4 linked regions of the Diceros bicornis minor genome follow. The protein of the gene in region 3 purifies or fractionates together with the protein of the main gene of each other region. This does not show direct contact. Links are inferred from orthologs where the notes say so. Each region holds a gene or a part of one and is shown on either strand. Other genes may lie near its edges.

Evidence for each region.
Region 1: the proteins of CSNK2A2 (region 3) and CDC5L purify together in Homo sapiens (affinity purification with mass spectrometry; 3 studies listed by BioGRID and IntAct, counting the BioPlex papers as one, with this or other methods). This does not show direct contact. The link is inferred for Diceros bicornis minor from reciprocal best matches to the Homo sapiens genes CSNK2A2 and CDC5L.
Region 2: the proteins of CSNK2A2 (region 3) and ARK2N purify together in Homo sapiens (affinity purification with mass spectrometry; 6 studies listed by BioGRID and IntAct, counting the BioPlex papers as one, with this or other methods). This does not show direct contact. The link is inferred for Diceros bicornis minor from reciprocal best matches to the Homo sapiens genes CSNK2A2 and ARK2N.
Region 4: the proteins of CSNK2A2 (region 3) and SIN3A purify together in Homo sapiens (affinity purification with mass spectrometry; 3 studies listed by BioGRID and IntAct, with this or other methods). This does not show direct contact. The link is inferred for Diceros bicornis minor from reciprocal best matches to the Homo sapiens genes CSNK2A2 and SIN3A.

Annotation. Positions count from the first base shown.
Region 1 is NC_080753.1:21,503,001-21,510,411, forward strand, and holds the start of CDC5L (cell division cycle 5-like protein), read right to left. Parts: upstream 3,009-7,411; 5' UTR 2,898-3,008; coding exon 2,853-2,897; intron 226-2,852; coding exon 122-225; intron 1-121.
Region 2 is NC_080755.1:39,164,395-39,172,097, reverse strand, and holds the start of ARK2N (protein ARK2N), read right to left. Parts: upstream 3,005-7,703; 5' UTR 2,553-3,004; intron 2,228-2,552; exon of another isoform or gene 1,941-2,227; intron 1-1,940. UniProt on the Homo sapiens protein: AMPK substrate important for exercise capacity and skeletal muscle function.
Region 3 is NC_080771.1:11,518,473-11,526,070, forward strand, and holds the start of CSNK2A2 (casein kinase II subunit alpha'), read right to left. Parts: upstream 3,008-7,598; 5' UTR 2,726-3,007; coding exon 2,622-2,725; intron 1,810-2,621; coding exon 1,698-1,809; intron 1-1,697.
Region 4 is NC_080744.1:68,207,241-68,215,036, forward strand, and holds the start of SIN3A (paired amphipathic helix protein Sin3a), read right to left. Parts: upstream 3,013-7,796; 5' UTR 2,777-3,012; intron 1-2,776. UniProt on the Homo sapiens protein: Acts as a transcriptional repressor. Corepressor for REST. Interacts with MXI1 to repress MYC responsive genes and antagonize MYC oncogenic activities. Also interacts with MXD1-MAX heterodimers to repress transcription by tethering SIN3A to DNA.

The sequences.
Region 1 (7,411 bases), on a different chromosome or scaffold from region 3:
CCACTCCATACTTTCTGTTATATCACAATGCCTGCTTTCTTTGGTAAGGTTCAAAGAACTGACATTTTGTTCATCATAATGAAGGTCATTTACTGTTTTCCACTCATTAACTGGTACATACCATCTGGCTTTGCACTGCTTTGCTGATTTTCTATGCAGCAATGAGGCAATCCTAGACCACTGGTTTTTCCCATATTTCATTACCGCTGCTTTCAGAATTTCATCCTAAAAAATTGTCAAAGAAAAACAGTATATTCAATCACAAAACTCCAAGCAAGAAAAGACAAAATTTAAATTAACTCTAACAGGGTTGCTAGGGAGAAAGAGAGAGAAACACACACACACTCACACACACACCCCGCCTAGGTTTAAACAGAAAGTACAAAAACCTCATTCTAGCAAGCCAGAATCAGCCAAATGCAAGAAATTAGGGGGAAATCCCTTAGGATATCCTACCCTCCCTTACACACAACACTCCCCCAATAAATTGGGAGTGGGTACAGCCCAATCTGAGAGACCCTATTTGATAGAGATTAACAAAAAGTATTCTCCAATGTGTAGCTGTCATTCTCTTCAAAAGAGTACAGCTCATTCACTTATTCATTCATTCAGAAAACATTTCCTGAACACCTACCTTGTACCGGGTCTTGGGTACTTGGGGAAAAAGAATCGAATAGGCCACATCCAGCCCTCAAGAAGCAAGTCAAGACCCTGGTGAATCCACTCTCCAATCCAGGCTTCCTGTCTCCAGTTTACAAATGGCATTTTCTCTCCAGTCCCATAACTCTTACTCTGACCCAAAAATCCACATCTCAGATCTAACCTAAGAATTAAGTCAGTTCTTACCTCATGGGTCAGTTATGCCTCCAGCCTCCCCCAGTCTCTAGATACTATTTCACCAGGGCACCCACTCCAATATAGAATTCACCATTTCCAGGGAAGCCCAGCAAGCTAAGCCACAGACACCAGGGATAACAGTGCCAGAGATGAATCCACTTGCGGCATTTTACTTTTAGGCGTTTTTCCACATTGAACTCGAGCTACATGGCTCATACATACATGGGCCACTCCACCTCCACCCCCATCATCAGAGATTTAAAAAGACTACAGGGCTTTGGCCACTGCATAGGAATCCTGCTGTTATTTGTTTTTGTACATCTGTCTCTCTCCCAGAAGGCATCTCTTCTCCAATTTAAACAGCCTGTTTCCTGCTCTGCAAGCTCTGAGGCAAGGCTGTCACAGAGTTTATTTGTAACTCTGTTGCAGTACTGCTATACTCAAACACATCTTCAACTAGGTATACATACCAGTTATCTATCCTACTAGATTCATTCCACAAACATCTGCCAAGCAACCTACTTCATATTAGTTACTGATCTAGGTTCTAGGGATAACAATTACAATGCTGTCTGCTGGGGGAAAGAAATAGCAACTAGCACTTACTGAAAGACTACTACACAGCAGACTCTGTTCTAAATGTTCCAAATGTACTGACTCACTTAATCCTCAAGAGAGTAAGTAGTATTATCATCCCTATTAGAAAAATGAGAAAACTGAGGCTGTGAGAGGTTATCAGAAACTTACCAGCAGGCCGGCCCCGTGGCTTAGCGTTTAAGCGCGTGCGCTCCGCTACTGGCGGCCCGGGGTTCAGATCCCAGGCGCGCACCAAGGCACTGCTTCTCGGGCCATGCTGAGGCCGCGTCCCACATACAGCAACTACAAGGATGTGCAACTATGACATACAACTATCTACTGGGGCTTTGGGGGGAAAAAAAGGAGGAGGATTGGCAATAGATGTTAGCTCAGAGCCGGTCTTCCTCAGCAAAAAGAGGAGGATTAGCATGGATGTTAGCTCAGGGCTGATCTTCCTCACAAAAAAAATAAATAAATAAATAAAGTCTAAAAAAAAAAAAAAGAAACCTACCAGCATCACACAGAAGAATGTGATTCTTGCAAAAGGACAAAGCAAAATACAACTAGATGAAAGAGGTGCCATGGACCCCTGAGGGTGCAGTTAATTTTTACAGGGTGAATGGGCAAAAATTCGAAGAAGAGTTTCTGAATTGGGTTTTGAAGGATGGTCAGAAAGACGCCAAGGGGGAAGAGGCAGGAAAAGATATGATGTGCTCCAGAAACCGACAAATACCGCGCACTGTAAACACAAACGGCATTAAAATCTTATTTCTATTTTACTCCCTCTCTTCTGCCCTTTGGCTCACCACTAGCATTATCCGCTACATTTCTGGAAGCAAAGAGACTACTGTAGGCAGTCTGTCCTATCTGGCTTCTATCCAGGCTGAGGCGGAAAGACAAGAAGCGACAGGATCTGTCGGGAGGAGAGACAAGCTATGCCTTGATAACAGATAACCGGAGATGCGGGCAGAAATGGGCTCTTTGAACCTGGCACTCCAGCTGCTTCCCCTCTACAAGCAAGTCAATGAAGCAACAAACTTGTGGCCACAGCACTTGTTTATTTTTTAGTGTCAGAGAGAGACATGGTGCCCGGGCTGAGGGACGGGGGTGTCCCAGAAAACCAACTCTCGCGGATGTCCTATCTCCCCCTCCACACTGAGTTCCTCCAGGGCGGGGGGCGCGTCCTCACTTAACAAATGTTCACGACGGGCCTAACAAGTGCTTGGCAGGTAGTCAGGGGTTAAACCACGGTCCGCCCCCAGACGTGCTCAGATAACAACGGGCCTGGCACCACATAACGGCCCCGAGGATACTCCCCGCTCTGCCCCAGCGGCCGACCCCACTGGGCACATCCTCCACGCCTCCCCGAGCTCCGCGCGCCTGCGCACAAGCTGCCAGAGGGGGCGGAGGGCAGCGGACGGCGGGAAAAGGTAACTTACCTCGGTATTCCTCCACACGCCTCCCTTGATCATAATTCGAGGCATCTTGGTGGCGGGGTGTCTCGGCAAGCGGCCGAGAGGACCTTCAGAAAACTAGTAATGGCGCTGCGGACGCGGAACCCACAGCCACCACTTCCTCCAAGCGCGACCTTCTGCTTTGAAGAGATCTGCGCAGGCGCAAGGGGGTGGAGGGAAGCAGAGTAGCAAGTCTCGCGAGAACTCGGGTGGCTGAAAGGCAGTAAGTACCTTGTTAAAGCCTTAGTCTAGGAAGATTGACTGAAAACCATGAAACTACCCTGACTAAAGTGTCCTACGCCGCGCGTATATCCAAAACAGTTTGGAGGAAACCACGGCTCTCGCGAGATATCGGCGGTGGCTCTTGGCAGGGAATATAGTGGTGGGGTTGGTCGTGACGTCACCTAGTGGCAGAGAGTGGATACATCACGCGTGTGGAGTATCGGGCCAATTGGTCAAGAGTTTTGTTAATTTATTAACTTAGCACTATATTAGGCATTTAACTAATAGGAATTTATTCATAGAATACTCAGGAAAAGGCAATAGCTTAAGCCTAAACTTCCTATCCTGTAAAATAGATAATAATACAGTAGTACCATCCTCATAGGTTGTCCTAAGGATTAAATGCGATCACAAACCTAGCACAGTATCTGATACATAACAACTGCTCAAAAAAGTGGCAGCCGTTATTACAAGAAGGGCAACGCCGGGCCAGCCCGGTGGTGCAGCGGTTGAGTTCTGGAGTTCCGCTTCAGCAGTCCAGGGTTCGCTAGTTCAGATCCCGGGCGCGGACATACTCACCACTCACCAAGGCGTGCTGAGGCAGTGTCCCACATAGAAGAGCTACAACTCTACGACTATGATACACAACTATGTACTGGGGCTTTGGGGAGAAAAAAGAAAAAAGAGGAAGACTGGCAACAAATGTTAGCAAAGGGCCACTCTTCCTCAAAAAAAAAAAAAAAGAAGGGCAACCCCAGGTGATCAGCGGTTGTCCCAGAAACCTGCAGAAATGTCATGTCAGAATGTTTCATTCATCACTATTCAGTCTTTGTGGATTAATAATAAAGAGTTACCGCGCTGGTATTGGGCAAACTCGGGTTGAGTTGAAATCTTGGCTCTCTCATCATCTTGGGTAATAATCTTGCTGAATGTCAGCATCCTCATCTGAAAAATGGAGTTAACAATACCCACCTCACAAATTTGAAGGGCAAATAACTTAAGGCATACCTAAAACCCAATGAAGTAGGGATTGTGAAGCACCTCCCAATTACTCCGTCTCCTTCACTGTTTAAACACATCTCTTTGGCCCCAGCCCTGGAAGGTATGCAAGTATTTAGTTAATGGACTGGGAAACACCCTGAGTATTTATATAATGTCTTTCTCTTTATAGTTCTTCATTTCTCCATTTGCCTCTTCTGGAAGAGCTACAGAATTTTCTGATTAGATTTTAGTAAAAATTTTTACCTTGAAATGCAAAATTGTATCAATAAAATCACCACTTTGTTGAAAGGAGGCAGTATTGGATTATGAAGAACACACAGACTTAGCCATATAAGATCTCGGTCCACTCCCATCTCTGCTGTCAACTGACTATGCGACTGGTGACAAGCCATTTTCTGTCTCTGGACCTCTGTTTGCAATGCTCCTCTGTAGGATGTGTGACCATTACCGGTCCCACTCCCAACATCCACTCAGTTGCTGTGGTTACAGTCTCTCTCTCTCTCTCCCTCCCTCTTTCCCTCCCTCCCTCCCTCTCTCTCTCTCTCCCTCCCTCTTTCCCTCCCTCCCTCCCTCTCTCTCTCTCTCTCTCTCTCTCTCTCTCTCTCTTTCACACACACACACACACACACACACACACACACACACAGGCTATTTGATTGATCTGATCAAAGCTGAGTCAATTAAGTCTCCTCCCCAGGATTTTGACACTGGAACCTAGAAGAGGCCAATCTCTCTGCTGGCCAATGAATCGCTACCATGTGACTCCCAGGAGTTGTCTGCCACCAGGTTTCGTACAACGTAAACTAAGAAGGAAGGAAAGTAGGTCCCAGATGCATTAAGAAGAGCAGAGAAGAGAGAACAGAGAGACAGAGGTAGGTCCTGACTGTGCCAGAGTCCCTGGATCCAGTATGTTCCTTAGTTGTAGGTGCATCCCTGTTCTTATGATTAGTTCTCCTTTGGCTTTAGCCAGTTGGAGTTGGGTTTCTATTATTTGTAAGCAAGATTCTTAGCAAATCCAGAGTTGGACCACTCCTCTCTCAAGAGCCATTTCAGACCTAACATTCCAAGAGCCCATTGTGATGGCTTCTCCTTCCCATTCAGGACCACCTTTACCCCATATGTCACCTTTGTACCAACTAGAAAAAGGTGCCCCTTCCTCAGGGGACTTTATTGACAACTGCTGGAAAATTGTCACAAAATACCGATGTTTTGAGAACAGGCCACTCTTACTACAAGAAAATTTGATCTACCATGTCTACAATGTGAATTGCACCCCCTAGGGGCATGCGTTTTACAACTTGCCCGTTGGGACAGAGCAGCTCCGTCAAATGTTCCCCAATGCGCCCTTGAACTCGCAGACTCAATATCCCATTTCAAGCTTCAGAAAATGCAACATCATGCCAGTTCTGGGACGTCTAAAACCGGAGCCCCATAGCCACAAACACCAAAGGCTCTCCTCCAGCATGGCCTGGATTGGCTAGCCTACCCCACCATATTACCTCAGCCTCACTAGCCAGGCCTCAGGGCCCCCAGAAAGAGGCAATCTCCACCCCAGTGGCTGCCAAGGATCTCTGGCCAGAGCAGCCATAAGGAGCAGCCACCATCAGGCAACCAGACTGTACAGTCACTGTAAACCTTTAGGAAAGTGAGTGGTCATTGCTAAACAGAGGCTTAATGAGAGAGAGGCTCCACTTCTTCCCCACCCACCCAAATATGTTCCTCAGAACACTGGTCACATGGGACACTCCATTAAAAATAAGTTTTTCATGATTACTTGAATTTGAAAAAATCAGCATGCTCTGTCCACTCTCGTTTACAGAATCGCCAAAATTGAAGCCTAACAAATTGTAAGATGAAGAAATCTATTTCTCCCTGTTGTGGGTTAAACTGTGTCCCCTAAACAGATATGTTCAAGTCCTAATCCCTGGTACCTGTAAATATGACTTTATTTGGAAACAGAGTCCTTGCAGATGTAATCAAGTTAAGATGAGGTCATACTGAAGTAGGGTGGGCTCTAAATCCAGTGACTGGTGTTCTTATAAGAAGAGGATAAGAGATGTGGACACACAGGGAGAATACTTTACTAAGAAGGAGGCAGAGATTGGAGTGATGCATCTACAAGCCAAGGAATGCCAAGGATTGTTGGCAACACCAGAGGCTAAGAGAGAGAGGCGTGGAATATATTCTCTCTTTGAGCCCCCAGGAAGGAACCAACCTTGCTGACACCTTGATTTCAGACTTCTAGCCCCTAGAACCGTAAGAGAATAAATTTCTCTTGTTTTAAGCCACCCAGTCTGTGGTACTTTGTTACGGCAGCCCTAGAAAACTCATACACTCCCTTTTTAATATAGCATTTCCAAACGAATTTGACCCTGGAAACCTTTTTTCTTATAATATCTATAGATATGCAGGAAACACAATTTGGGAAACTCTGGCCCAGGAAAAAGAGGCTGGAGGTCCATCCAGCTTAAAAGGGGGGAACAAGAGATGTCAGGAGAATGCATTGTCCGTTTCCCCATCCCTCATCTCTTTTGAAAATAATCAAAATTCTAGTTTCCCTGTTGACCAGCTTTTTACCATCAAGAAACTGTACAGAAAAGAGTTAAAATTAGGGTCAAAAGCCTGTGACAACACCTAGGCACGGCTAGGGGCAGGGGTTAGCCGCCTCCATAATCTTCATCATCTCCCCAAATAAACAGATGGAATTTAAGTAGAAACACCGTGCTGCTTTGCAAATACAGTTTCAAGACAAGTCCTCTAGCCCCGCCCCATGTACCAGATTGCCACCTCTAAGCTCCTCCATCCCATTTAGAAATTCCTCAGCTAGTGCTGGGAAAAGCTAATGTCTGGGTGTCAAGTTACTACAAAATGGAATTCCACGCACTGTAAATGCTGGTAATTCATACTGTAATTCTAACCATGGTTAATCATCTAAATGGGCTCTGGTGTCACCCACTGACACTTCCTTGTGGTGGATCCAATTGTAGTTTTTTCTCAGGTACTCATCTTCATGGGTGTTATTTCTGGGGAGTCCCCTGTGCCCTGAGGTGAAGAAGCGTTCCCAAAGAGAATTTGCTTTTTGTCTCGCCCCAGAGGTCCAAGAGTCTTTTTGAGCTCATTTCTCAGTTTGGGATCAATATTCCAATCCGGCAATTTACATCTAGACCCTGCATCCACAAGGCACAGGCTTGGGTTTTACATTCTACAGGAGACTTTTTTTCACACTCATATACCAGACCCCAGACTCACATGCCCAACTACATCCTGGACAGTTCAACGTGTGTGTGTCACAGATTCCTCAAATGCAACTTCCCAAAATT
Region 2 (7,703 bases), on a different chromosome or scaffold from region 3:
ATATACGAGTCTTGGATTAATCATGAAGACTATAAAACAAAGAGAATGATTATGACACTGTTTCATAAATGCATTTAAGAGTAATATAAACTGAACTAGTGAGTAATGTAACAACCACACTATGAAGCTAACAATGGGGAAAGTTTCCGGCTCCAAAATCCAGTCCATTCCATTTTTCACAAAAAGATGTCAGGAAAAAAAAATTTCCATTAAGAAATCATATTTAGCTGATGCGTTAAGTATAATTACCCTTGAAGTTTTTCCCTGTCTTTCATACTGTACACGCCTATTTTGAAGTTTACATCTACAATACGTTATAAAAAAGACATGGTTTGAAGTTTTAAGACTACAGAGGTACTGAGAAGCACTCTGAAGGAACCTGATTTAGAAAGATCTAAAAATATTTTTATTTCTCACTTAATAGAACTGCATGAAATTTCACTAAGGTTCTTTTTAATGCAGCATAAAAGTCATTGCAGTAAATTCCATCTTAGTTTCCTGAATTCAAATTTAATTCATTATTTTATATTTACTGAGCACCTACTGTGCATAAAGCACTCAACTAGGCATTGTGTTGGCCAGATTACTCAACCAAAATATTACACTTCCTACTAAGCACTGTGACTCCTCAGGACATCAGATAATAACCATCAATTGCAGGCCTCTAAAAATGCTTGTTAAACCAAAAGGCAATGCCCTCCCTGGAGGAAGCCAGATTGCCACGATCAGCAAAACTACATTAGAAAGTTAACAGCCTCCATTCTTAAAATATCCCAGAAGAAAGGGAATGATTCAAACTGTTAGCATGTGTCCAACGACACTACACAGTACCAGCCTAAGCAAAACTGCCAGATGTATTTGTAATTAAGGGGTTCAACCTTGACAAAGCATCATCAGTGGGATTTTTCATCCTACTAGGTGGAAGGATTCAGAAAGCAAAAGCTCATCCAAACATAAAGTGCTCAAGCCTTTCAATCTGGGAGAACAAGTACAGACGTTCATTCCTTCAACCTGGGAGTATCTATCCTGTGACAGCAGAAAGGACGATTTAAAGGGAGAATGTATGACGTGCGGTTCTCTGGAGGGCTGCTGCCCCAACAATATACTGAGGTCGGTGCTATAAGAAATAAAGTACCGAATACAAAGCGCTACTGGGGAAGACAAGAGAACTCTCTCTGGGAAGAGTCAGAGAAGACGATGATCTTTAACTTGGGGCTCGTCAGTTTACATCCTCCCCGGTTTTCTAAATAAAGTTGACAAACTCGCCAGAAGAGGTCAATTTTGGAGACTGACACATCCCTCCCATGGACCAGAGGCGTTTGCCGACCGAAGGCTGTGGAAGCGCCGAGAGGCAGGCGGCGCCCAGCCTAAGAAAGCCTCCTCTCCCTCCTCCTAGGCCCCGGGGGCTGCGGCGCTGGGGCGGCCCCAAAGCTCGCAGGAGCAGGGGCAGGTGCCGGCGTCAGACCCCGGCTCGCGGGGCTGGCTGAATTAGCAGAACTGCCCCCACCGCTTCCCCGGCAGCCCGAGGCGCCGGAAAGTTGCGTGAAGACAACTCCGGGGCTGCAAAGCCGCTGCCCCGCGCGGCCCGCGGGCTGCGGCCCCCCCAGCCTCCTCTCGCCTCGCCCGGGCCCCAGCGGCCCAGGGAAGGGGGAGCTCGGCCAGCCAACTCGGCCAGGAGGACGCCAGGGTCACCAGCGGGCGGGCAGCAAAGGGTCAGGGCTGTGCCGCCCCCCTCGGTACACTCCCCGGGGCCGAGCCTCCCGCCACGTCCGGGCACGAACGCCTGGCGCCCCCCAGCTGGGCCCGGCACAACCCCCGCGCCCGGACGCCGCAGAGCCCTCCCCGCGGCCCGCAGCGCTCCAACCCCTCCCCGGGACGCCGCCCGCTCCCACGGCTCGACCGGCAGCCGGGCCGCGGCCCTGCGCCCCTTCCCGCCTCACCTGCGATCCGCGGCGGCTCCGCACCTCCTCGCCCGCTCCGCACGCCCCGTCGGGGCACGCACCGACCTCCCGGCCGGGACGCTCCCGGCCGCGGTGACTCGGGACGCGACGGCCACCGCCGCCTTCTCCTCCGCAGCACAAGCCCCGGCGGCGAGCAAAGGGTCGCCGTCAGAGCCCCGGCAGAGGCAAAGCTAATCTCGCCGCCTCCGCAACCTCCACCACCAACTCCCTTCACTCGTCCGCGCCGCCCGGAGAAAATGTCACCAGAGGCCGTTCCGCTCGGCGCCTCACTTCCGCCCGGAACCACAGAGCCCGCGCCGCTTGGCTAGAGCGGCCGCTGCGGCGGAGGCCTCTGGGGACTGGAGAGGGAGGCCACGGGAAAGCCAGACAGCGCCATCTGGCGGGAGGGAACCCGCGCTCCTCCCGCTGCAGAGCGCCAGGCGCGCGGGCACCGGCTCCCCGGGCTTCTTCCCGGGCTCCCTCCATCTTATCAGGCAGCTCCTTTTCAGAAATGTCTTTCCCAGAGGGTCGGAAGGCCAGTCAATGCAAGCCAAGGACAGTGCTCTAAGAAAAGGACAGCGCTCCGTTTTCCGTGCACCGCTCAGTACTCACCCCTCCTGAAGCCTTCCCGAATGAAGCTAGTGGTGTCTCAATCCTTGAGTCACTCCAGCCGCAAGTCAGCGCCCTTCTCTCCCCACTTTTTCGCGGATGCCGACAGCTCGGCTCGGGAAGATTCGACTGTGATCTTATGCAGTGGCATCAACATCCCGTTCAAGTTTCTGGACGGGAACCTTGCAGGCCTCGCAGATAGACCGCCACCTGCTGGCGAGACAGGGTCCGCCGGGGAGGCCCCGCTCCGCCCCTACGCGCGTTGCAGACGCCCCAAATTCCACCTCTGCAGAGTCACTCCTCTCATTTGCAGTTCACCCTGGGAAGGGTGACGCCCTGGCGTTCTCTATGAATTTTCGAAGCCCTTCCTTGAGGTCTGAGATAGGGGAAACGTGCTGGACACGGGACCCCAAAGAAAGGTGAGGTGGGCGCAGGCCACCTGGCGGGTGCAGGGCTGAGAAAGAAGAGGTGCTGAGAAGAAACCTCACAACTCAAGATCTGGCCAAGGGCCCTCGCTCCGTAAAAGCAGGGTTTTGAGAAATAAATGAATAAATAAGGGCTTGAGGAGAAAATGTAAAAGGCCTTTACGTTTTCAGGAGCCATGCTGGGACCTGGGGTGATGCTCCCAAAGAGCAGATTCTGAAAATCACAGGGCTGGCCCCACGCTTCCCTAACCTCGGTCTCCCCTTTAGATCAGGCCCTTCAGCTCCTCCAGTTCACTTATTTATGGTAACTCCATACAAGCATGGGAGCTTTCCTTCCCTGACTAAATGTGTAAATTGATAAAATAATTTTATAATAATAGCTAGCTTTTCTTTAATGCCTACAATGTGCCATGCACTGTACTGTGCATTTAAATGGATTCATTCAGTTAATCCTTACAACAAACCTATGAGTTTGGTAGTATTACTAGCCCCAGGTGACAAAGGTGGAAACTGAGGCACAGAGTGGTAAAGGACCCTGCCCAAGGTCACGCTTCAGTAAGTGGCAGGACTGGACTCCAACACAGACTGAGCCTGCTGTCTCCACCAACAGCACCAACTGCTTCCTTGAGATTTGCTGAGATGGTACTGTGTGCCAGATAAACATTTCGTCTATGTATGTTATTTCACCTGGTCATTCTTTCGTTTATTCATGCATTCCTCTGCTACCTTAGTCTTCAAGGAATTTGAGAGGTTGTGGGGTAGTGATAAGAACGAAGACTCTTTCAGGAGACAAAGAGAAAAGAAACTATCTATCTACTAAGATCACAGCTGTCAGTCTTGAAGTGAATGAATGAATGTGGACTAATAGATTCAGTTTTAAAACAACTCCTGACTCCTGAGGTGCCATCTTGGCTTCTTTTCCTGTTTGATACCCATAAGTCTATTCCCTTCAGTGAATGGACTGTACATATTTTCGGAGGCTGGGGCATTTGATATCCTAGTTACTGATATTCCTATTACTAGCATAGTCAGATTGCTATGTAGGGCAATTGCTTTTTTCCCCTTTTGGAGGAGAAGGAAGGACTGGGCCGTTGATCCTACTTCTGCCTTGGAATTGTCTCCTAGAATCTCCTGTGCATCACATTCTCAGCTCTCCGAGCTCCTGAATCCCATCTCCATAAAACCAGCCCAGACACCAGCCACATCACCACCACGCTAACCACCCTCTCCATCCTGTTGCCTCTACAGAAATTTCTGCCAAGACTCCTCTGCTCACAGACACTGTCCTACAAACAGGTCCACCCCTTGGCCAATCTACAGTGTTACCATTGAATCATACAGTGTTACTGCCGCCATTTGCCCCTGTGAGGTGGATGATTGAGGCTCCTCTGTCTTGGGCTCCAAGTCCCTCTTTGCAATCAGGTGATCCCCCTGACACCCCTTCTATGTGGAACGTCTGTAACTTCTAGTATAAAGTGGAAATAACTACAAAGGACAGTTTTAAATTTTTCAACAGTGTGTATTGGTCTCTCATCTTTTAATGAAAAGAATAGCTCTGTATGACACAGCGCCCGACCTTGAGAGACCTCCAGGGTAGGAGAGGGAGGGACTTTTCTGACACCCCATCTAAGCCAGCACCCCATTGTTTGCTCCCTGCATAACATTTGCCCTCCTGTGTACTTATCATACATATTCTTCTTTCTCATCCATCTGACGCACAGGAGAGTAGAACAGGGGCCGGACTGTGTTGTCCTGCTCTGCAGCAGGCACACGCAGTACACAGTGTGAATGGAGGAAGTCCTTCCTAGCATCTAGCTGGGGAGACACAGAAACCTGAAGGGATGTCAAAACAGGGAAGTGGTGCCAGGTGCCAAGTGGATGAGAGGCTGGGAGGAGGGCGGGAGGCCTGTGGGTGACGGTATTCGGGGAATGCCTCAGGGAGGACCTGGGTCTCACCTGACAGCTATTGAAAAGGAGGAAGAGATTCAGTGCCTCAAGGGCAGAGCCCATGCCATCCTTCCTTCGAGCCTCCTTGGTGTCCAGCACAGGGCCTGGCAGATGGGACACATTCCATAAATGTTTGTGACCGAAGGAACAAGTGTGCAGAGGAGCTGACCTTGGGGGGAAAAGGGGTGAGAGATGGAAAAGCCTTGGGATGTTTGAAGGATGAAAACCCAAGGGCCAGGCTGCTTGTGGCCAAACAGGGGAGGAGTGAGGAGAGAGAAAGCCGGGGAAGGGAGGCTGGGGGCTGGGTGGGAGTGTAAGGAGTCCGGGCTTCATGTTTTAAGCACTAAGGGGGAAGCAGGGTGTGACATTCTCACCTGGACTTCTGCCGAGTGTACAGTCAAGACCAGCGGAAAGCAGACCCTCCCCAGCCACTGACAACTTGGAGAGGAAGGAGAGCGGCTGCCCCCGCGCTGACCATGCCAGAGAGCAGGTGGAGCTCTGGGGGCGGGGGGGTTGCTAAAACTGAGGACTGCTGAGAAGAAAGCAAGCAATAGGAAAGAAGGGAAGGGCCTGCACTCTAGGGACCTTCCCACAAGGTCAAGACACACTCTGATTTGGAAGAAAGGACTCGTAAGGACTTCAAAGAAGTTGAAAGACCATCTTTAAAGAGAACGTCTCCAGTCCTCCACCTTCCTCTCTTCAGCTCCGAAAACTATGGTATTTAAGTAAGAACATCAGGGGGTCTGTGATGTAATTGAAAATATACATTTGGTCTTGGTCCTCAGTCCCTGGCACAGAGCTCCTAAAACGCTAGAAATTTCCTGAGTGGTGGGAGTGTCTTTTGTTATTCATAAAGAGCCCCTTTCAACCACACCTGAGTTTATGCTAACGAGATGACTCTCGCTGGGCCCCTAGGTAGCTTCAGGATGGGGGCTGGTGGCCAGAGAAAGCAACCTCGTGATAAGAGAGTTGGAACTTTCAGCCCCACCCCCCACCTCCGGGAAGGAGAGAAGGGCTGGAGATGGACTTCAATCACTAATGGCCAATGATTTAATTAATCATGCCCACATAATAAAATCTCCATAAAAACCCCCAAATGATGGGGTTCAGAGAGCTTCCAGGTTAATGAACACATTGAGATGCAGGGAGGGTGGCGCACTCGGAAAGGGTGTGGAAGCCCTGCACCAATGCCCCCCTCCTCCCCTCCACATTTCTTTTCCCTTTGGCTGTTCCTGAGTTGCATCCTTTATGATAAACCAGCAATAGTGAGTGAAGTGCTTCCCTGAGTTCTGAGTCATTCTAGCGAATCATGGAACTTAAGGGGGAGTCATGGGAACCCCGAATTTATAGTCTGTAGAGCATAAGTGTGGGTAGCCTGGGGACCCCACTTGTGGCTGGCATCTGAAGTGGACAGACTTCTGGGACTGAGCCCTAAACCTGTGGGGTCTGCGCTAACTCTGGGTAGTTAATGTCAGAATTGAACTGAATTGTTGGACACCCAGTTGTTGGAGAATGGGTGTCAGGAAAAAAACACACAAGATCCTGAAACTTTGATTTTAAATAAATGTGTTATATTTGGTTTTAAATAAACATGTGACATGAGGCAACACCAGTTCTGCCAAGTCTCTCTTCAGAATCCTCACCTCCCCCCCACACCCATGACCGTGGCCACCATCACCCAAGACTCCAGAAGGGTGAGTGGTTGAATGCTTCGCCTCTCCCCGTGGTATTGAAACATCAAGGAGTGCCTTTGAGGAGGAATTAATATTAACTGGTGACACTTCAGGTACCAAATCCTGGGTGGGGAAAATATTACTGGGTGGGGATCATCCCGACATTCCTCATTTGCGCATATTAAGTGGCCACCTCCTCTATGTGCATATTAGGAGCCCAACAAAGCATGCATGCTGTTCAGTTTTATTCAGAAGCCGTCTATAGGAAGGCTGCCCATTAAACACAAGGCGCACTGTGCTGGACCCTTGACGTGCAGTATTTCATCTTCACAACCGTCAGCAAGGATAGGTAGGTTTTACAGAGAAGGAAACTGAGGCTCAGAGAAGACAGTGCCCCTGACAGAGGTCACATGAGCTAAAGGGGCAGAGCCAGGATTCCTGGAAGAGAACATGGCCATCTCCCTCAAGAACACTACTGTCTGACTAAGAGCAGGACTTCATCTAGAAACACATCGCAATAGTTCACAGGTGGAACACAGCAATGGCTGAAACAGAGGAGGGACACGTGGGATGGAGAAATTAATTCCCAAGAGCAAGAAGGACTTCACGGAAGCAGAAGCTTTTGATGAGGGCCTTGGAGCAAGAGAGGGGCTTCCAAGGACAGAGATGAAGAGAAAGGAGTCCTGGGCAAAGTCTGGCTTGACTCAGGAGTGTGCAGGGCACAGCAGGACAGCCCGAAAGAGGAGTGTGTCTCGTACAAGCGACACACTGAGAGCTGTGGTTTGGGCCTTCACCCCCCGCCCCTCCAAGTTTGTTTTATCTTTTTGCAAATTAACACCAATATTGTACGTTTGTATAGCGTTCACCTTGAACACTTCATAAGTATGATTTCATTAGCTCCTCTAAACAGTCCTGAAAGGTAGTGAGGATGGGTATTGTTACCATTTTGCAAAGATTATGTGACTGACACAAGGAGATTCTGAATAAATGCTTATTGAATGAATGAATGAATGACTTGCCCAAGGTTACCAGCACTAAACAGGAGAGTCAGGACCAAACCTTGCTCTGCTGCCTCCAAATCCCAGACTCTTTTCACGTCCGTCCATATC
Region 3 (7,598 bases):
AAACATATCCTGCACATCTTTAGAGCAGAGGAAACACTATCCAGCAACTGACCCTATGAAGTTCTCTAGAAGGATAAGTAAAGAGCAACACAAAGCTTTCCTAAATGAACATACTGTTACTTATATGTACACCTGAATGCTGTTCCTTTCAAAAAAGACACCACAGGAAGTTGCAGACTTATTCTAAAAATGCTGCCATGGCACAAAAGTTTAGACATTTTTCTGAATTGCTTTAGAGTCAGCAGTTCATTCTTCTGAATGCACAGCAGTGGAATAAGGATATTCCTAATTTCAATTTATGCCTTGCTTACTGCCTAGAAAGATTTTAAGCAGCTTATATTAAAAACATTTATGCTTATGTATAAAGGAAAAAACTGTATAGCTTCCCCAGGTGACTTCTCTGAAGGAAGCATTTCTTTAAATATTTATGCTTATAAAGAGAAAAACAAAAGACCATGTGACTTTGTAAGTGCAATTCATATTTAGGGAAGAGGGGAGTCAAACTCCACATCTTCAGTATCAATTCCTCACTTCTCACTCTCAGTGTTTCTAACAGCACAAATAACTGCCTATTTCTAATTCAATTCTGCTTCTTCAACACTAGGCTAGGATGGTACTAACAGAGTTGATCACTTTTCCAAAAGGTGATTTTCAGACAATGTAAGTCTGACCCCTCATATTAAACAGCTGCACAGCTGCCCTAACCCTATCCTTAAGACACAAAAACAGCTTTTCAATCCCACATTCTTATTCAGAGCCTCTGCAAAATGGCCACACTGGAAATCTTGTAGATATAAAAGTGCTTATATTAATTACTTTTTGGTTGTCTCGGTATTTCACTAAATGACACGCACACACGTTAAATGATCTGGTAATGATGAAAACCCTTCACAGATGCTAAGAATCACTTTTTAGTACACCCTATAAAACGTTATTAAAGCTACACAATCAGTCACCTGAAGGAGAATTCAGCCAACTCCTCACGCTCATTAAGATCGGGTCTTCACCCAAGAGATGACAAAAGCTGTAGCTTATCAAACTTAAGCTACTAAACCAGACACTAAGACTGCTTTGTTCCAATTACTATTTTAGTGATTCAAGTGTACTCTTCTACTGCTTCCAATTTCACTTCTACTAGCTGATAAGCAACAATGAACCTTCCTGGCACTACTGGCTCACTACATCCACCTCACCTGAAACTTTTATCACCAGAGGAGAAGAAACAAGTGATTATCCACCAAGGTGTTTCTCTCCACTCAGGCTTCAAACTCATCTTTGAACCCGCTCCAATTTTTTCCGACTTGCTTTCTGGAACAACTGAGAGCACCAAGGGTAACAAACTCAGTGCTCAAGGAGCCCTTGGACTGATGCAATCTTCATGAAAAGGCTTTTCTTTCTTCTGAATACCTATTTATTTTGGAACAAATGGAGCCCCTCTGGAATTTTCACTTTGGGAGTCCGTAACTACATTTCAAAACAAGGATGGTCCTGAACTATCAAACTTAGATTCGAAACAGGTCTGCATATTTTCTTGAAAGTTCACAGGAAAATGGGGTGGGAGAAGCAATAGCAGAAGGACATGAGACAGAAGATACGCAAAATAAGAGCACGTATTGCTCACTCTAGAATGTGGCTGGGGTCGTTTATATCCTTCTGACCTGTGGAAAAAAATTTAATGCCACTCATAAGACACTCACCTTGAGAATTTTTACAACCACTCTCTCATTGTTGGTGATGTTAATGGCCTCAAATACTTCACTATACTTTCCCCGACCAAGTTTTCGAACCAGTTGGTAATCATCTTGATTACTGTGAAAGGCAAGAACGACACATAAATGCCAGGACTTCGGATTAACTAGGCCTATGCCCACTATACACCCCTATCCAGCCGCTTCCATTAATCAAGCACTTGGAAGTGTCTACCTATCACACCACAACTCATTCCCTAAATGAAAGCCACAACACACACTTGGCTGCCTTCACTCTGCTCAGAGCTCCTAACCTAACTGGTCCCTCCTAACTTGGGGAGAGGAGGTAGGAAGGCACCACTCCGAGCCAATCTATAGGGATGAGCAAAGCATCCATCCTTGAGGCGCAGAGGGTGCCCCTCTGCCCGGGGCGCCACAGCACCTGTCTTATCCTTCACACCCTCAAGGCAGCCAGGGCCAGCTTCGAGAATCTGGACAGCTTTGAAAAATTTCCTCCCACCCAGCCTCATTTCAAAAGACTAAAAAGGCCGAGAATTGTAATAGCTCAAGAAGACAGCTGCTGACTTCCCACCCCAATAGAAACCCAAAAGTGTGAGGAGGAAGAGCTCTCTCACTTCCACCAGGCTCTGGTCCCCGGACCCTACACTTCTCGCCGCTAAGAAAGCATTCCTGGGGACACGGGGGAGGGACGGGGGCGCAAGGCGGGGAGAAACGGACGAGAAAGGGGGGAGAGGAAGATGAGCACATGTGTGGGGGGGGCTCTGCCTCCCAGCCCAGAGCCGAGGAAGCACGGGCCCAGCGGAGGAGCGGGCGGGGAGACAGGGCCGGGGGGCGAGTGCGGTTCGCGCTGGGGGGCGGCCGGCGAGGGTGGGGGGCGAGGGGCCGGGCGGGGGGCGGCGGCGGCGGCGTTACCCCCAGCTCGGGACGTGAGCCTCGTAGTCCCAGTACTCGCGGCTCCTCAGGCTGTTCACCTCGGCGTAGACCCGGGCCCTGCTGCCCGCGGCCGGGCCGGGCATGGCGGGCGGGACCGGGGGGCGCCGCGGGGCGCAGAGGGCGGCGGCGGCGGCGGCCCGGCCGGGGGCGCGGGGCGGCGGGCGGAGGAGGCGGCGGGCCGCGGGGCGCCGGAGGAGGAGGAGGAGCGCGGCGGCGGGCGGCCGCGCCAGGCCGGGCCCGCGGGGGCGGGCGGGCTGGGGGCGCGGGGGGCGCCGGCCGAGCCGGCCCGGCCCTGGAGCGGCCGGCGGGGCGGCGGGGCGGGCGGCGCTCGCGCTCCTCGGCGGCCTCCGCTCGGCTCGCGGCCCCGAAGCGGCGGCGGCGGCGGTGGCACCAGCAGCGGCAGCCGCCGGCCGGGAAAGGGGCAGCGGCGGCCGCGGCGGCGGCGAAGGAGGAGGAGGAGGAGGAGGAGGAGGAGAAGGAGGAGGAAATCCGGAAAAGGGGCCGCGCTCACTAGGAGCGGCCGCCGCCCGGCCCGGGGCCGCCCAGCTCACAGCGCCCCCTGCAGTGCGGGGGGACCTGCCGGGCGCGCCGGCCCCGCCCCCGGCCCCCCGCCGTCCGCAGCCCCCTCCAAATCTGCCCATCTTCGGTCTGGTCGCACGCGCTCGCCAAAGGGCCTCCCCAACCCACAGGCTGCTGCCCTGAAGCTTTACCCTCCGTGTACCCTTTCAGGACTTCCCTGGACACTCCTACCCCAAGCTCTCTACCCTCTAGTCATCCAGAATTTACCCACCCGACCTCCCATAGACCCTATTCTGACCCTCCTGTCACCCAAACTATTCCCATCAAGTGCCTCCCCAATGACTGGCTTTTATCATTCAGAGTCTCCCCACCTCAAGATTTGTCCATCCCTCCCAGAGACCCCTCCCCTTCCCCCAATGGACCCTGTCCTGTCACCCATAGACTCCTCAACCCCAAGACTTCCCCACTCTTTTCATCTAGAGCCTTCCTCACAAACCCTCCAACCCACCCCCAGCCAGCCAGGTTTCTCACTGTAAAGTTCCTATTTTTCCCTTTGTAATTAATAATCAATCTGTGGGGAGATACTTTGAGACTGTGTGAATACCCTGGTTTCGTTTGGGAGGATGGAGAGCAGGAGAATCATGAGAGTCCCGCCTGAAGGGACAGGCTGGGGGTTGGGCATGGACTGAAGGTGGAGCAGCCAACCAAACTTTAGCCTATTTTATGTTGCCTTCTAGGCCAGAACTCTCTTCTCTCTTTGATCTTCTGGGCCGTTCTTTTGTCTTGCTTTCCCATCCCACATCCTTTATCAGCGGAACTTCTTCACTCAGTCCAGGTTGCTCTGATTCCAATCCTTTTTCACTTTCTATTTTCTAGGTGAGACCTTGCTTCCTCCTTCTTAATGTAGTTAAGAGCACAGACTGTGGAGTCAGATCCATCCAGATTTGAATCCCAGCTCTGCTACTTACAAGCTGTGTGACCTTGGGCTAATAACTGAATGTCTCGGTGCTGCAGATTTTACAGCATGAAGATAGTAATGGCAGGGCTGGCTGAGTGGTGTAGTGGTTAAGTTCTCACACTTCGGTGGCCTGGGGTTCACAGGTTCGGATCCCAGGCGTGGACTTATGCATGCCGCTCATCAAGCCACGCTGTGGCGGCATCCCACATACAAAATAAAGGAAGATGAGCACAGATGTTAGCTCAGGGCTAATTTTCCTCAGCAAAAAGAGGAGGATTGGCAATGAATGTTAGCTCAGAGCCAGTTTTCCTCATACACACACACACAAGTAGTAATGGCACCTACTTCACAGGGCTATGGAGAGAATTAGACAAAGTAAACCATGTGAAATACTTAGAACAGTGTTTAGCAGATACTAAGTGTTCAACATTATTATTACCAGACCCAGGGCCTTTCTCCTATCGCTTTGCCCTCCCTTAGACCACCACATGCCCATCTTTCAGTTCCTTCCACCCTCCAAGGTTGACCAAGGCCACCTCCACTCCCTCCACCCCCACTTTCCCACGGCTGACTCCTTTTTCCTCTTCAAGTCTCACCTTTAAGCTCACTTTAAGTGTTAGAGTTGATACTTCTCTTATCTCAGCACCCTATCTCCATCCTTCAGAAACCTGCCTATTTTGTAATTATTTGTTTGTTTCCTAGGTTATTGTCTGCCTCTGGCACTGTAAAAACAGCCTGAGAGAGAGGACAGAGTTGGGTGTTTACCATTGGCTCACCCAGCATTTGCCTCAGTTGGAGGCTTTAAACAAATACAATGTTACCCCACAGATCACCTATTAATTTCAAAGGGGAGCCTGGAGGTCACCACTTTAACCATGAATCAAACTTAACATCATCAATAAGGGGCCAACAGACCCTCTGATGTGAGGCACCAAGAAGGGATGCAACATTTGCCAAAAATGCTTAACTTGAATCTAATCATGGAAAACACAGACAAATCCAAACTAGGGAACATTCTACAAAACAGCCTGAACTTTTCCAAAATGTCAATGTCACAAGCAAAAACAAAACAAAACTCTGGAGTAGTGTTCTTGATTAAAGGAGCCTGAGAGAGAGAACTAAATGAAGTATCTAATTCTGGATTTGATCCTGGATGAAAAAGTAGGAAGGAAAGGAGGGATGGAAGGAGGCAGGGAAGGAGAAAGAATAAAGCTAAAAGGACACTATTGGGACTACTGGGGAAATTTGAATATAGGATGTATGTTCCATAATAGTATTGTTTCAATGTTAAGTTTGGTGAGTGTGGGGATTATGTTGTGGTTATGAAGGAGAATCTCTTGATTTTAGGAGTTACATGCCAAGTGTTTAGGGATGAAGTATCATAATATCTGCATCTTACTCTCAAATGGTAAGGAAAGTCTCCAGGAAAACATGGGTTCCTGAGAGCACGAGCATCCATGAGGAGAGCGGAGTAATTAGGGAGAAATGTTGACAATTGGAGACTACATGAGCTTGCAACTTTTTGGTAGATTTGAACATTTTAAAAATAAAAACTGGAAGAAACTAAATAAAGCATTTGTGGAATAACTGGACTTTACAATTTAATTCCCAAACCCACAGACCTCCCTAAATCTCTTTTACTAGAGAAGACACAAACATTCTCAAGCTCTTAATGCAGCCTTAGGATTTCTTTCTGACAAGTCTCTGTAAACTAGTCTAGACCAGAAGGTCTTTTCTTTTTTTTTGCAGGGAAAGATTCGCCCTGAGCTAACATCTGTTGCCAATCTTCCTCTTTTTTTCCCTCCCCAAAGCCCCAGTGCATAGTTGTACATCCCAGTTCTAAGTCCTTCTAGTTCTTCTATGTGAGCCGCTGCCACAGCATGGCAACTGACAGATGGGTGGTGTGTTCTGCAACTGGGAAGCGAACCTGGGCCGCCGAAGCTGTAAGAGTGCTGAACTTCAACCACTAGGCCATCAGGGCTGGCTCTAGCCCAGAAGTTCTTAATCCTGGGCCTTGGATGAACTTCCTGGGTTTCAGGAAACCCTGACGTTGTGTGCAAAATTTGTGGTGTGTGTGTCTGTGTGTGTGTGTGTGTGTGTGTGTGTGAGCGCACGCACGCATTCTTTCCTCAGCATCCATCAGATGCTCAAAGGACGCCATGACCCAAAAATGGTTCCAAAGCACTGGTCTAACTACTAGGACCAACCCTGACTGGGGCCCCGTTCCTCACCTCCACCCTGGTGCACCTCTGACCCCACCCACCCTTCCTGCACCTTCCTCTCATCCCTCACCACCTAACCCACACCCATCTCACGTAACCTGCTCCCACACCTGCCAGGATGCCTCAGGATTCACCCACACATCACTCTGGTGCAACGTGCTCCTGGGTTTGGCTGACACTTCGCTAACTCTGCCCTAAAACCTGCAGTCAGTCTTCCCACAGCCAAATGGAGTATGTTTTTACAATTTGTTAGTAGGTAGGTTGGGTACCCCATGGAGTTGGCGGAGACCCACTGCCTCTCTTTCCTGCCAGCCTGTCAGGCAGCATGCTTGGTGTAATTAATTAGATGGGCAGTTGGAGATGGTACCAATGCAACACTCGCTGAAGGAGTGAGTCTCATTGGATATGGAGAGGGACAGGCTGGTGGCTCTGCAAGGGTGGGTGACAGGGCAGGGAGGTTCAGTAAACCAGAATCGACTTCCCCTAATTACTGTGTGTGTGGGTTTGGGGTGAGTGTAATTCAGGGTTACACAAGGGAGAAGGCATGAGGGCTTCTTGAGTCAAATAGCCCAACAATTTCATACCAAATTCTATCCAAACATATACACACACACAAAACCCAAAAAACAAAAATTTAAAACCTCCAGAGGAACACCTTCTATCTTCACAGGGCTTATTTCCAAAACCTTTGAGAGGTTTATAGGTTTTTATCCCATATTTCTGGTTCTAAGAACCTAGCCTAAGAAAATAGTGTAAGTCACCATCAAAGAATTATTAATAGTAATGACAATTTGTGTGTTCAATATCATCAAATCCTGCAAAAACCCTGAGGCTCAAAACCACTGAATTTACACTTTAAATGGGTAAATTGTATGCTATGTGAATTATATCTCAAGAAAACTGTTTAAAAAAAATCCTATGATTGAGCCAGCCCTGGTTGCCTAATGGTTCAAGTTCGACATGCTCCACTTCGGCAGCCTGGTTTCGGTTCCCAGGTGTGGAACCACACCACTTGTCTGTCAGTAGCCATGCTCTGGCTGCTCACATAGAAGAACTAGAAGGATCTACAACTAGAATATACACCTGTGTACTGGGGCTTTTGGGAGAAAAAGAAAAGATATAAAAAAAATCATGTGATATTGGAGCTGTTGAAAGGATCCCATTTCCGCAGTTTAGTTATCTAAGACTTCAGTGATGGATAATTGAGGCGGAATCTGGATTTGAACTCAGGTCTTTCTCACCACGAAATCCATTTCC
Region 4 (7,796 bases), on a different chromosome or scaffold from region 3:
AAGAAGGCGGAGATAACCAAAATGAAGGCAGAGCCTAACAGCCACCGCCTTGGCAAACCTCCTGAAGGCGGAGCGTGAGGCTTAAGGCACTCCCGATCTCCAGGGTAGATTTGGAGGCATCCTCAGACTCGAAAAATTGAGGAAGGAGACCAAACAGGCCACAGCATAAAGGAACCTTCACCCCACACTTCAGAGAAAGGATAAAAGGTCCAGAGTTACAGACAAAAGATAATAAGAACGGCTGGTCACTTCCTCCTTGGCCAACGAGTGTTAATGGCAGTACCTAGGCCCTCTCTGTGTAGGTAATAGTGCCTCGAACACAAGAGACAAAGTGCTTGCAACACCTAGGTTGCTTTTATTTATTCACCAAATAGGGCAAAGAACTGACTCTGGCCTTGCTTTGGGGGGCGCTCACAGAGCGCCAGGAGAGGAGGGGGCGGGGCCAGAGTTTTCCCGCTCTCTCTAGCAAAAAGGCTACTCCCCCAAGAGAGGCTAGAGTCAGTCCCCAAGTGGCAGGCCCCCCGCAACCGACTCCTAGCTCCTGTCTTGTCCTCCTTCCACAACCCAGCGGAGACGGCAAGAATCGAGCGCTGGCAACAGGTGGGCCTGACTCCAAGGATGGCTTCCAGCCGCAAGGAAAAGGCAGCGAACTGTGAACTCCATGAGTAGCTGACAGATGGGAGCAGTCTCGCCGGGAGCCAAGCCCTGCCCCAGAACGGAGCTCTAAAAATAAGTCACACAGACCGAAGCGACCCCTCGGCCAAACCTGTAGGAAGTTACGAAGAAGCGGCACTTACGCAGAAATGACCTAGGGCTACCTTTAACTTGGGCTGTCCCCCGCTCCCTGGACTGGGTGCCACACGGTGCTCCTACCTGGACATCAAGAACCACTTCGAACTCAAGTAGGATTGGGCCGCCCCGACTTCTCGGTCAACAGGGGATGAGCTACCCCGGATCTTGCCTAAGGCATCCAGGCCAATCCTAGGTTGCTCAGAGTTTTAGATAAAGCCAAGTAAGGACTGCGGCTGCCTTGCGCTGGGAAGAAAACACACTGTCAGCGTCGGCAGCGTTCTCAAGCTTAAGCTCAGGGTGGTCTCCTGGAAGTCGAGAGGCGCAGGAATAGTCCGAACTTTAGTACTTGGCCCGGAAGGACAGATCGCACCTCCTCCTCCCAACCTCTGCAGAACCCCCGGAGCTAAGCCCCCCAAATCCACTCCACACCGTCACCCTTACACTTCATCACAAAGACTACCAGGTCGCGAGCTTGGAGGAATCATTGTGTGCCTTCTCGGTTCTCCCTTCCCCCCTCCCCCCGCCAAGGGCTCCGAACCGGGGACTTCCGGGCGGGAGGACAGTTCGAAGGAGCAAGGCGGGCCTCACACATGTGCGGAGCGCGCACACAAGCGAGGGGAGGGGGCGGGGAACAGGGCTGGACTTCCCTCTCCAAGCTCGCTCCGCCGGAGCAGGCGGGACTATCCATCTCACCAACCAGAAGTGGGGGCGGGACCTTGCGCCACACGTAGGCCGCAAGAATCCTCCTCCGCCCTTCACTGAAAAAAATCCTAGCAACTTAAACTCCAGCCCGGTCTCCGATAGGCGGAGCTCGGGAGAATGTCACCCAATCGATAAGCGAGAAGGAAAAAAGGGAGTCTCGTCCAGCCAGTGGAAGACAAGAGAAGGCGGGCTCTCTGGAGGAGCCCGAGGTGGGTGGAAGAGACAAGACAAGGCCCCGCCCCTCGGCCCCGCTCGGGGCTGGTTGCACAAGCCGCCGCCGGAGTCGATAGTAAATAGGCTAGGCCAAGGAATGGAAGCTGGGGCAACCCGGCGCTCTGTGGGCCGGGGCCCCTGCGCCTCCTCTCCCGGCGCGCCCCGCCCAACCCCGGCGGTTCACGCCGGCGCCCCGCCTCCCAGCCCGCGGCCGCCATCCCGGCTGACAGGCGCGCCCCCCCGCGCCCCTCCCCGCCCGCTGATGCATTTCCTTTTCCCGATTCTGAGCGTGAAGACTGTTTTCCCAGTTTCCGACCTTCACTGCCCCTTTCAGGCAACCCCTCGTGGGCGCGCACACACGCCCGCGCCCCCGTCCCCGCCCCATCCGCGGGCGAGCGGCACGACCGGGGGGTGCGGCGGGGACCCGCCGCCGCCGCCGCCTTAGGGTGGGCGGGGAAGGAGGGAGCTCCATGTTTGCAAGGGGATCAGCTGGGGCCGCGGGTCGAAGCCGCCGAGTTCCTGGAGGTTTTTCCACATCCCCGGGCCGAGTTCCGCGCGGGTTCGCGGCCTGGTGGGTTCCGGGACCGAATGCTGGCTCTACTGCCACGGCTCGGGAGTTTGAAGAGCCCAGACCGGCGCGCGGGGCGAGTGCCGAGGCGCGGGGGGCTCTTTCCGGTGTCCTCCCCCACCCCCAGCAGCACCTCCCGCGAGTCCAGCGTTGCCCCCGCCCCCAGAGTCCATAACAACCGCGGGCCCACCGCCCCCTCCGACAAGTTTGCGGACAGAAACAAAACCCTCGCGGCGACTGCCGCCCTCGCCCAGCGTGGTTAGCGGGGAAAGCCGCGGGCCTCGGCTCGCTAGCTAACTCCAGCTCTCGACCAACTCCGGGCGCCGCGGGCTCAGGCCGCCGCCCCCTGCCGAGCCCGCGCGCCGCAGCCCGGGCCCAGTTCCAGTCGGTGTACGGAATCTCTCCTTTTTTCTTCTTTACAATAATTTTTTTTTAGGCATTCCAGGAGCGGGGAGGATCTCCTCCTGCCCGCCCCTTACCCAGTCCGCCGCCGAAACCTACCGAAACTGACTGCTCGGTGAAATAAACTAGGCAGCACTGCCAGCGCACTGGCGACCCCGGGCCGGGCCGACCCCCTCCCCACGGATCGGGCCCGGCTTGGAAACACACACTGCCGGGCGGGCGGCGCCAAGAGCTCTCTTTCCTGGCCTGCCCCTCGCCTCCCTCGGCTGCCGGACTCCGAGCCTCCCCTAGCTCCGAACCGGGGCCTTCGGCGCCCGCACCGTGGCGGACTGGCCAAAACGACCGGCCGGCGAACTAGCCCCCCAAACGCCCGAGATTGGGGAGACCAAATGAAAAGCAGCTGTTTAACATACCTTCCGAGGCAGGCGAGGAGTCCTGAATGGGGGGGAACGCCCCCCATGGGCCATTGGCTCCCCGGCGCTCGCGTCAGTCACCCTGGGCCCGCCTCCTCCCCTCGCTCCACCTCTTCCCCTTCATTGAACGCCCCCTACCTCCAAAAATATATAAATAAATAAATAAAACTAGCCGCGAGTGGGAGGCCCATCCATGGCAGAGGCTTCTGTCTCTCCGGCACCGCCGCCTCGAGTTTCTTGAGACCCTTGGGAGATCCGCAGGGTGTACCCAGAGGAGGAGCTAGCGGGGCTACTCGGCCACCACTTCCTTCACATACACACCCCATTTGGAGCCGGGCAGAGGGAGGCGGGTACGGACACCCTAGCGACCGGCTGGAATGTCCCGATTCCCCTGGCTGTGTAACCGAACCGTTTCTGGCCCATTCTGTTAAGGCGCCTGCCTAAAAATGAGCAGCGTAAGCGGGAAGTCCTGCGTTCAGGGCAACAGGCACTTGTCTGAGCATCTAATGTGGGTGAGGCAGACACATTCATACCGCACCTGCTGCTGGGTACGATTACAGAGACTGGATGAAATGCTCTGTACCCTCCAAGGGCTCCACACCTAGCTGAGGGTATGCTACAGAAAGAGCTAAGGCAAGGCAGGAATGTATATATAAATACACATCCATAGAAGCTCAGAGAAGGGAGATTCTTTCTAGCTGAGGAAAACTGGGAGTCTTCATGGAAGAGGCAGCACTCAAGTTGGGTCTTCAAGATTTCATCAGGCAGAAATGGAGGGGCAAGTCATTTTCAGCAAAGGGCACAAAGGGGTAAATGCAAAACATTGTTAAGGACCTTCAAGTGTGGCTGTAGTAATGAAAATCAGGGTTGGAAGGATGGAACAAAACGGCAGAAGACTTTAATAACTGGTTAAAATTCTTAGACTTGCACAACACAACGTGCAAGCAGCATGGTCACAGGACCACAAGCCCAGAACTATGGTTTAAGATACTCAATATCCCAGCAGCTGGATGGGCTCTGAGAGTAGGTTGAGTGAGGAGTCACTACAGGAAGCAAGGTGAGGCACAAAGGTTGTTGTAATACTTGGTTTGGAAACCTCAGAGGTACACCTTCTGGTAGGAGGGGTAGGTGGGGGGGACCCGAGAGAAGGCTTCTTTTCTCTTTCCCAGCCACCCAACCCAGAAAGCCTTCCCTACCTTCAGCAGCCCTCAAGTCAAAGATCTGCCTCAGATTGTTCCCAGAATCATTTGCAGTGTTTGTCATAACTTTCAACCAAAAAGAGTTTCTGGGAGGCAAAGGCTACTCCACATGTCTGCGCTCAACAGAGCTGAGCCTGGGGCCAGGGCACACAATGAGTGAGCAAGCAAGACCTGTTGATTGAGGCATCCGGGAAAGGAAGTTAGTGTGGATCAGGTGGGATATGCAGAATGTGAAGGGTCTTAAGAGTCCTGTGGGCAGAATGGGGGCCTGTGCCAGTTAATCAGTCCCAACAATTCAGGTGAGATGTCATGAGGACTTGACCAGGGCAGTGGCAATGGGTAAGCAAGAATAAAAAAGGAGAGGTGTTTAAGAAAGACTCAAGGGGACTGGGTGACTGATTCAGTGTGAGTAATGGAGGGAAAGGAGTCAGTGGCCTGGTATGTGAAGAGGCAGAAGAGTGTGAGGCTGGTGGTTGGGTGATCTGGGTTCTAGACATAGCATGGCCAGTGACTGGTATATCCTTAGGCAAGTCCCTTCCTCCCTCTGGGGCTGTTCCCCCCCACCTCACCCCCGGCTGGAAATTGGAGTACAAAGACAGGCTCTAAGGACCCTTCCTTCTCTCACTCAAGAGTCCCTGGGGGTGAGGGGTCTGATGAGGAGGGAAGCTTGCCTCTAAGGAGAGGGCAGACTGGAAGAAATACTGATTTGCAAGGGCAGCAGATCATCCCAGGTGGAGTGGGGACTAGAATTTGGGCAGTAGCTTGGTTGATGGAATCACTGAGGGGAAGGGTGTAGAGGGGGAAAGGCCAGGAGATGAGGACTGTGTATTCAGTGGGAGGCCCAACACCTGACAGGGCCATAGAGGTTGAGGTTCATTCTCAGACTGGGGGCTCCCTAGAGTGAGGACCAAGTTTTTCTACATCAGATCAGAGATCCCTCGATGTCTGGAGCCCCATCTCAGATTCCTGCTCTATTTCCCAAGAGGTTCTGCCCTAGATGAAGGCATAACACATGCTGTGAACGTGAGATGAGGCAGAGTGGTAGACCAGAAAGAATATTAGTCTGTAAGCTGAGTCCCACCTAATCTCTTTTCTGTGGATCAGCCTCCTGTCTTGTACAAGAGGATAACATAGCAATCTTTGCCCTGTTATGAAGATCAAATGTGATAAAATGTGCTTTAATATACCTAGTTAGGTTCTGAGCTTCTGTGGAGGCCAAAGGCCCAAGCATTTGAGTGTAAGCCTGGACAGCGGTATACTGTGGATGAAGTTCCTTTAAGGAGCATTTGCAACTAGAATAGTTACTCCCACTCAGAGACCCAGACTTTTTTGACACTTCCTACCCTCCTGAGTGCACCACGCTGGTGGAAATCCCCTCCTGAACACCCCCTAGACTGAGCTCCTAGAGCATAGCCACTCTATCTAATTTCACCTCTGAGCCCCCAGTGCCCACAGCAGTCAGGCATAAGAGGCCCCTTGGAAGGGGTCCAGTGATTGTTTCTGACTCAGTACATTGATGCCTGCATAGCACAGCCAGTCCCAGACTCTTTGGGAAAGTGAGTATTTGATTTGGCAGCATTGGCCCTCCAGCTGCACTGAAGGTTGCATCCACCCGACCTCTTCCCTACTGTCTATCAGTGAGGACGGAACAGTGAACGGATCTGGGTGAGAGCTTCCTTGGAAAAGTCACATTGGGAAGCCAAGTTCTGATTCCCAGGAGGCCTCTTTTGTGTGAGTTAGGGATTATTATCCTGTTTGTAGTTGAGCAAACTGAGGCTCAGAGCAGTACAATGACTTGCCCAAGTCAAGCAGCCATGGCAATTCTGGGCCCAAAGCCTGAGCTTTGTCTATGCCCCCATGTGCTATCTATCTCTATACACACTAGGGTACCATGGTCCAGGTTGGGGCTTCTGGATAAAAACAGCCTCCCCTCCTGCTCCACCCTCCCTACTTCCCTAACTCCAAGAGCAGTTTGTCCCCAAATAGTTCTAAATGATTTCTGGCCCTTTCCAAAAAAAATTATCCTCAAAGACGCAAGATTTGTCTCCCAACCACATATATACATGCCTCCTCAACTCACAACACATATACAGTACTCAAAACTCTCACACCTTCTGACACGCTCTCTCACAGGCATCACACACACATATACCCCCTCATTCACAAAAAGGACTCATTCATAGTTCTTGAGGGTGCTTATGGGTTGTGATTGACATTTAGGGCCTGCCTTTCAGTGACTCTGCCAAAAAGATGTCAGCGTCAGTGCTAGTGCCCTGCTGACAGAACCTCTGCCAGCTATAGAAGACCATTGTCAGCTTGGGAATATCCAGATGAGGGGCATCTGAGACTTGCTCCCACCCCCAACCCAAAGTACCCTACGGCTTCAAGGGGAAAACTCAAGCTATTGTTCAGAATCCCAGTTTAGTTGCTTCCTAGCTGGACGTCTTTGGCAAGTCACTTATCTTTCCAATTTCCTTATCCGTAAACTAAGAATAAGAATACCTACGTGATGGGGCAAGCCCCGTGGCATAGCGGTTAACTGCGCGTGCTCCACTGCTGGTGGCCCGGGGTTTGGATCCGGGGCGCGCACTGATACATCGCTCGTCAAGCCATGCTGTGGCGGCATCCCATATAAAGTGGAGGAAGATGGGCACAGATGTTAGCCCAGGGTCAGTCTTCCTCAGCAAAAAAAAAAAAAAAAAAAGAATACCTACATGAGTGTGGTAAAAATAAACTATGCCTAGCATTTAGTCAAGACTTCTCAGAACTTTTTCTCCTTTATCTTGTTGCTATACCCTTGTCTCCTGGCCATTCAGATGTGAAGTTTCCGGTGCTGCAGTCTAAGAGCCCAGGACAGGCCTAAAGGACCCAATGATCCCACTGTGTGAAGAAACTATTTCTCTGACAACCAGCTGGCTTAGGTTGTACATATTCTGTATTTCTGATTTCTGGGCGGCTTTGGAGGCTTGGAATTTTTTAGTGGGTTTTAAGACTGCTACTCACTGCCTTGAAATGTCTTCCCCTCACTGAGCATTAATTTACCCCTCTGGGTCACTTCCAGTCCAAATCTAGAAAACAGATATAACAATATGTTCTCCAATTTACCTGGCTCTATGTTTTCAAAGTGCTTCCTTTTGTATATCACTTGTTTGGTGATTTCTTTTTAAAGCAGCAGGTTCCTTTGTTCAAATGAAATCTTATTCAGAGGGCTAATATGTAAGAGATAAAGGTGGGCCTCACTTTGGTTGAAGTGGAGACAGCCCAAGCACTGCCATCTCTATTCCTTCACCTACCATTCATGCCTCCTCCCTGTCAGCCCCTGCCCCGAGAAGACCACCAGTGAACCTACATTTCCAAATCTTGTTCATTCATCCCAGCCACTCCCCAAGTCTCATCAGTCTGTGAGAATACAGCCTGGCCTTGTCCTGTTACCTCTGCCTATTAATCACAATCTTTCACAGCCTTTTTCTTCTTCAATCCTCCCCTAAATGTTAGTGGCTCCCAGGG